Linked DNA regions of Macaca mulatta. The protein of the gene in region 1 interacts with the protein of each later gene in a biochemical or structural test. Links are inferred from orthologs where the notes say so. Each region holds a gene or a part of one and is shown in the gene's direction. Other genes may lie near its edges.

Region 1 (3,500 bases):
GGGTAGCCTGTCCTCAGGTCCCTTATAAATGCATGGCAGCTCAACTGCTGAGGAAATTGGGGTCACTGCCAGTGGCTAGCACTTTGTCCCCAGTGGTGGAAGCTCACAGTGGCAGCAGTCTGTTGGGAAGTCTGTCCTCAGGGCATGTAAAAATGTCTGCAGCTCCTCTGCTGGGGGGAAATATGGTCACTTTCAATGGTTCGCACTTCAGCCTTAGCAGCCGCAACCAGCGTCAGTGGTGGCTGTGAAGGGAGGTATGTCAGAGGGGCTCCAGGCATGTGAAGATGAAGGAGCTGTTGGGTCCCAGAACAGGATGTAGTCTGCTGGGGGTTGGGCTCTCAAAATAGTGCTGTGCTGTAGCTACTTAGAACTCAGGGGATATACAGATTCAGCATAAGCTCCCTCTCCGGAGCAGCATTGTCATGTGGCCTCCAGGTACCTCCCTGTGTTAGTCTCAGAGCCCACAATGGTCAAGGGGTCTCCCATGGCTAGGACTGCAGGAGTCCATGGTGGGAATGTGGACCCCTGGGGGTCTCTCACTTACTCTTTCCCTGCATTGGAGAGCCTTTGCAGGTTGCTTCACTTCCTTCTTCCTTACTTGAGGTGTTTCCTATCACTTTTCTGTTGAATTCCAGTGTTCTCTCTTAGATGATCTATGTGAAGTGTGATTATCTACTCATTATTTTGGTTTTTCCTTGTAGAGAAGGTGAGTACTAGATGCCTCTATTGAGCCATCTTGAAGCCCCTCTCTCAACATGTTTGACCAACTGTTTAACATTCAGGTGCTCAGTCTATTATTTGCTAGCTGGTCCTTGAGCAAGACATTTGATTTATATGGACTTAATAAAGGAGTATATGTTTAGAAAGCACTTGGAGATTTTATGAAATTATCTTTGGTGGTTTGTTTTTCTATAGTGAATTCAAAATGAAAATAGAGATGATATTTACAAAAAGATATCACTTAGTAACTTATTTCATTGAAGAAATATCAAATATGGAAAACTACTCTTAGTTTAATAGTATTAATTGGCAAAACACTACATTTTAGGATTGTCAGGCTTAGACAGCTCCAAGTGTAAAAATAAAGTTCATTCAGTAAACTCTATTCAGAATGCTTTTGTTTTCTAAAAGCTATATATATTCATACATACACAGTTATATAGCAGATTTGCCAATGTATTTCAATAGGGGAAATTATAAGCAGGGTCATGCATGGGATGTGTTTATGTAGCAGGCCTAGATCTGGCCCCCATCAGTCTTTCCTTCCCCACCTTACACACTTCCTTTTTGGTCTGAACTCAGTCCTGTGGCCACACCTACCTGCAAGGGGCTCTTGGAAACAGTCTGTGTACTGTTTCCTCTTTGATGATAATGACTTGGTAGTTTCATTTTCAAAATCAGAGGAATAAACCTTAAATAAATAATGATACATACCATTGTTACCAGTAGACCCTGTTGTAGAGCACAATTCCCCTTTAATCTGTATACACTTACAAAGGCAACCTACATTCTAATTTTACTTTTGTTTTCTTTTCTGGCTAATCACATGACAAAAGGGAAGAATTATGGTTCAGGGAAAAATATGGGACTTGAAGGTCAGACAGCCCGTATCTGAACCCTGACTTCATCATTTTCTGGCTCTGTGACTTTTCTTTTAAGTTATTTAGCCTTCCTGGGCACCAGTGTTCTCTCTCTTATAAAATAGAGGTGAGTATCATTGTATTGTTTTGAGGATCAAATATGAAATGGGTAGCACAATATCTGGAACATAGCATAGGGAGTCAGTGGAAACTTTGGTAATATATTCTGAATGTTTTAAGTTTAAAATATATGATCTTTCTTTTACAGGAACACCAGATGCATTTTCACAGTTACTCACCTGTCCATATTGTGATAGAGGCTATAAACGCTTTACCTCTCTGAAAGAACACATTAAATATCGTCATGAAAAGAACGAAGATAACTTTAGTTGCTCCCTGTGCAGTTACACCTTTGCATACAGAACCCAACTTGAACGTCACATGACATCACATAAATCAGGAAGAGATCAAGTAAGTGCAATGACTGAGAGTTCACTAACTTTCCAGATTTTGACAACTCAGCCCTCAATGGAAGGCAAGGATTTTAATATATTTAAACGTTAAAAGAATGTACTAAACAGTGCTATATCTGCAGCCTTATAAAAGTGAAAGTGATTATTTATTTGAGTTATCCGGTCATTCCTGAGATTAAAAACCACATATGAACGTTATTTTAGAGGTAACTCAGCATTTTTTTCAGATAAGACCCTTTCCATCTTGACTTAATTATTTTGCTTATGCCATAACAGATAATTCTTCAAGTTTAGAAGATTTTAAATTGCATTCTATTAAAATGTTCAGTGTAGGAAAAATAAATGCTGACTATATAAACCACATTTTACTAACCAAATTAACAAGAAAGTCAAATTTAAAAGTTTAATTTTCTTTGAACCAGTTACTATTTATTCTCAGTATAAACTACTGTGGGTTTTTGTTTTGTTTTGTTTTGTTTTTTCTGCCATAGTAAAGGGAGTTGCCTCCTCTAAAAATCTGAAGCTTAGATTTTTTTATTCTGAAAACTCAATTTTTATATGGTTTATTCTATTTCTATGTCACTGTGCCACAGTTTTTAGAGCATAAACCAAGACTGTTTTTTAACTGTAAGTTACATTTAAATTGCTGGTTCTGTATTTAGGATTAAAGTCAAGAAAGCTTTTATCAGTTGTTCTTTTACAAGGTCCTCATAACTATCAACCATCAACAATGAAATTAATATTGCCTTAATTGTAACTTTAAAAATTAAATAAATTTTCAACCACACAGGGTTTGTGAGCGTATATGTTAGGGTTAGGGCATATTTCCAGTTTCTTACATCAAAGAATGATGTATATCTACACACCTGAACTCTGTCCTATGGATGTACCTAATATGTGTCACATATCCCATAGAGAACAAGTTAGACCATTTGCTAAGGTGATGGCTAGGCCAAACAAACAACAACAAAAAATTGTAACAGAAAAAGAATGACTGAGCAGAGTCAACCTATTTCCTTAGTACTTTGGCAACAGTACTCATGATAACAAGATAAGAAGAAGAGGGTGGCAATCAGGGAGAATAGAACCAAGATTTTATAGGTTAATGGTCCATAAGCCCATGAAGGAGCACTTGAAACAGGTAAAAGCTCCAAGAGAAGGATGAAATTAATACAGAGAAGGGATGACTGAAGGCAAACACCGTCTCCTTCTAAGTGCCCCTATTAATGAGTCTTATCAGACACAGACCAGCAGAAGAGTATGTTTTATACCTTAGCGCTCTGATGTGGCCACGGTGTAGACAAGGCTTGGGAAAGAGCCTACTCACGTGACATTCAGGAAGCAGACCCATCCTGAGCTGCTGCCACTGTATTCCCTCTACTCCAAGGGCCATCGTAAAAGGAGAGGACAGATTGAACTGGTGGTGAAAGCAGAAGATGCCATTATA
Region 2 (4,138 bases), on another chromosome or scaffold:
CTGTCTCAGAGCAGCTGGGATCCACGCCACAGGTGGCGCAGCTAGCAAACGACTGACTCAGCATTTCCTTCTAGCTCTGCGAATGCAGAAGCAACTCTTTGCTTAGCTGTGACTGAGAAAATGCCCTTCCCTAGGGGAAAAGAAACACGTTTTCCTGCACAAGCCAGTCTATAATTCCAAAGCACTTTCCCTCCAGGTGCTGGTAGGTGACTGAGATATGGTCGAATCTAGACCAAGTCATAAAATCACTGATATCCACTGTGCGGACATATCCACTAGATGCCACTGCCAAGTTAAAGAGAGCTGAATCCTAATCGTGAGGTTTTGAGGGGAGATGTGTGACTTTTTCAGAGAGATTAAATGTAGCATTAAACATCCTCTGTAATAAACCGTAATTTTCTTGGGATTGGACAGGAAGGGCAACAAGCCCTGGAGATAGCTTTCCTCCGGGGTTGTCACCTTGGATGCTGGATCTGTCACAGAAAAGGAAAAGTCTCCTGGCCTATGGACTTCAGGACACAAACAGTTGTATCTTGTGCTTCTCACAGCACAATCTAGTGCTATAATGCACCGATGGCATCTTTGTTGAATGCATGCTCCTGTACATGAACCGCCTAGGAGGGATGATAGGGTGAGCTGAGCCATAACTTGGAGAGAGCTTCGAAAGAGAAAGGCATTCTCTTCTCCTCTGCTCTGCATCAGGAGTTGTTCTCTAGGCTGATTTTCAGGTCGGGACTGAAAAAAGAGGTGTGAAAGATAAAGCTTGCCAAAAAGGTCTTTTACTTGATATATACTATGACTTAGTTTTCACATTGGGTTAGGGTTATTATTTCAATTTCTCTTAAAAAATTGACACAACTAAGGCTCAGAGAAGTTAAGTGTTTTATCTGAGGTCACACAGCAAGCATGTGCCTGGGCTCAGGTCTCTCTGAGCCTGAGCCCTTGCTTATGCTTCCTCCCCTGCACATTCTGGGATAATCTCTCTCTCTCTCTCTCAACTCCCAGAGACCAGACTCTGACAGGATCCTGAGGGATTTCTGCCAGGGAGTTGCCATCTCTGGAAGCCCCCACCCCCATGCCGGGCGAATCTTTTTTTCTGTGGAGTGCGGGCCTGGAGCTAGGTGAGGCCTGAGCCTCCATTTCAGGGGCTTTCTGTAGAATCTGTTGCTGCCGTTGCCTCCAGTAGAGTCTGTTTCAGGAAGAGGTTTGCCTGCCTGCGCGGGACAGCGGTGCCATTCATCACTGCAGGAGGGCAGAATCCGGGGTTGGGGGCCGCACGTCGAGAGGGGAGGGGCCAGGGGGCGGCCCCCTTGTGACCAGCCCTGAGGAGAGGTCAGGAGAGAAGGCTGGCTGAGGAGCGCCTGGACAGCAGCAGTTGCTGACGTTCTATATCACGCGCCTGGGGCCCAAGGTAACCCAGACCTTTAAACAAACCGCCGGGCTGGGGGCGTTGCGGGGGCAGGAGAGGGAAAAGGGAGCGGGGACTTCGGGGATCGCCCGAGGATGGTGGTGGCCTTAGAGGTGGCAAATGCCTGAAGGGAGGGAGTAGTAATCCGAATTCTAGGAGAAATCGTAGGAATTGAAGTCGCAGAAGCAAGAAAAGGGGTGTGAGAGCACAAGAGCGAAAAAGCGTGAGAGGGCGCAAGAGCTGGGCGGAACGAAAGTGCGCTGAGGGGCAACGGCTTAGCGTGGAACACACCGGGTCACAGAAGTATAGATAAGGTAGGAGCAGAGGGACACTTTCTTCCTCTGAGTTCATTTTCCAAAAGTGCGTCCTTTCAGCCATTTTTGAGAGAAAATGTTGACCCAAGTGTTTTTTAGGATACAGGGAAAGAACGTCAGAGGAAGCTGCACCAAAGCGAGGCTGCGCAGGGCGCAAAAAAGCAGACAGAGGGTGGCGCCTTTTTTAAAGAAGTTTCCATCCTTTCTGTCCTAAAGCTCAGGCCGTTCCCCACCCCCACCGCTCGCTAGCCTTCTGTTCCCAGTCCCCTGGCCCCTGCATGATCTGAGCGTCTTTAAAGCAGGTAACCGCCTCGGTCTCCCCATCAGCTCCAGGGGCCTCTCAGTTGAGTGGGTGGAGCCGGCAGCGGCCGCGGGCTGAGCTCAAGGGCCGATGGGAGGGGTCCTGGGGGCGCTAACTGCGCACTGCGGCCATGACGCTGGGCAGATCATTCACAGAAGTCTGTCTCGTTTCATCTACAGTCGCAGCTCGTTTCCAGACGCCTTGCTTCTCAGGTCGAGCAGTGATCTGATGGCCCAGGTTCCAGAAACTTCTTTGCCCTCCGGCTCTGGGGCCCGCTGGATCTCCGGAGGTGGGGGAGGAGCCTCTCCTGAGGAGGCGGTTGAGAAGGCGGGGAAAATGGAGGAGGCGGCGGCGGGGGCGACGAAGGCGTCTTCGGGACGGGAAGCTGAGGAGATGAAGCTGGAGCCATTACAGGAGCCTAAGCCCGTGCCGGAGGAGAACTTGACGTGGACCAGCAGCGGCGGCGACGAGAAGGTGCTCCCTTCAATCCCCCTTCGCTGTCACAGCAGCTCCTCGCCCGTTTGCCCGCGCCGCAAGCCCCGCCCTCGGCCCCAGCCCCGGGCCCGCTCCCGCAGCCAGCCTGGGCTGTCGGCCCCACCCCCGCCTCCGGCCCGGCCCCCGCCCCCGCCGCCACCCCCGCCCCCATCCGCACCGCGGCCCAGGGCCTGGCGTGGATCCCGGCGCAGATCCCGACCTGGGTCCAGGCCTCAGACACGGAGAAGCTGCTCTGGTGACCTAGAGGGGTCGGGGGATCCTGGCGGCTTAGGGGACTGGTTGCTGGAGGTCGACTTTGGTCAGGGTCCCACAGGCTGCTCTCATGTGGAGAGCTTTAAAGTAGGTAAGAACTGGCAGAAGAACCTGAGGCTGATCTACCAGCGTTTCGTTTGGAGTGGGACCCCAGAGACTAGGAAACGTAAAGCAAAGTCATGCATCTGTCATGTATGTAGTACCCATATGAATAGACTCCACTCTTGTCTCTCCTGTGTCTTTTTTGGCTGCTTCACTGAGAAACATATTCACAAACATGCAGAAACAAAGCAGCACCATTTAGCTGTAGACGTTTATCATGGGGTCATATATTGCTTCATGTGTAAGGATTATGTATATGACAAAGACATAGAACAGATTGCCAAAGAAACAAAAGAAAAAATTTTGAGATTAACTTCCACCTCAACAGATGTTTCTCATCAACAGTTTATGACATCAGGGACTGAAGACAAGCAATCAACCTGTGAGACAAAGGAACAGGAGCCAAAATTGGTGAAACCCAAGAAAAAGAGAAGAAAAAAGTCAGTCTATACTGTAGGCCTGAGAGGGCTAATCAATCTTGGGAACACTTGTTTTATGAATTGTATTGTTCAGGCACTTACCCATATTCCTCTACTGAAAGATTTCTTCCTCTCTGACAAGCACAAATGTATAATGACAAGCCCCAGCTTGTGTCTGGTCTGTGAAATGTCTTCGCTTTTTCATGCTATGTACTCTGGGAGCCGAACTCCTCACATTCCCTATAAGTTACTGCATCTGATATGGATCCATGCAGAACATTTAGCAGGGTACAGGCAGCAGGATGCCCATGAGTTCCTTATTGCAATATTAGATGTGCTGCATAGACACAGCAAAGATGATAGTGGTGTGCAGGAGGCCAATAACCCCAACTGCTGTAACTGCATCATAGACCAAATCTTTACAGGTGGCCTGCAATCAGATGTCACATGTCAAGCCTGCCATAGTGTTTCCACCACCATAGACCCATGCTGGGACATCAGTTTGGACTTGCCTGGCTCTTGTGCCACATTCGATTCCCAGAACCCAGAGAGGGCTGATGGCACAGTGAGCAGGGATGACCACATACCAGGAATCCCCTCACTCACAGACTGCCTACAGTGGTTTACAAGGCCAGAGCACCTAGGAAGCAGTGCCAAAATCAAATGCAATAGTTGCCAAAGCTACCAGGAGTCTACTAAACAGCTTACAATGAAAAAATTACCCATTGTGGCTTGTTTTCATCTCAAGCGGTTTGAGCATGTAGGCAAACAGAGGCGAAAGATTAATACCTTTATCTCCTTTCCCTTGGAGCTGGACATGACTCCGTTTTTGGCCTCCACTAAAGAG

Evidence for each region. The genes of interacting proteins can lie anywhere in the genome.
Region 2: the proteins of ZEB1 (region 1) and USP51 form a complex in vitro, tested with the Homo sapiens proteins (2 studies listed by BioGRID). The link is inferred for Macaca mulatta from reciprocal best matches to the Homo sapiens genes ZEB1 and USP51.

What each region holds. Positions count from the first base shown.
Region 1 is NC_133414.1:32,868,584-32,872,083, forward strand, and holds part of ZEB1 (zinc finger E-box-binding homeobox 1), read left to right. Parts: intron 1-1,848; coding exon 1,849-2,051; intron 2,052-3,500. UniProt on the Homo sapiens protein: Acts as a transcriptional repressor. Inhibits interleukin-2 (IL-2) gene expression. Enhances or represses the promoter activity of the ATP1A1 gene depending on the quantity of cDNA and on the cell type.
Region 2 is NC_133426.1:55,459,881-55,464,018, forward strand, and holds the start of USP51 (ubiquitin carboxyl-terminal hydrolase 51), read left to right. Parts: upstream 1-1,338; 5' UTR 1,339-1,411; exon of another isoform or gene 1,412-1,722; intron 1,723-1,821; 5' UTR 1,822-2,024; intron 2,025-2,202; 5' UTR 2,203-2,251; coding exon 2,252-4,138.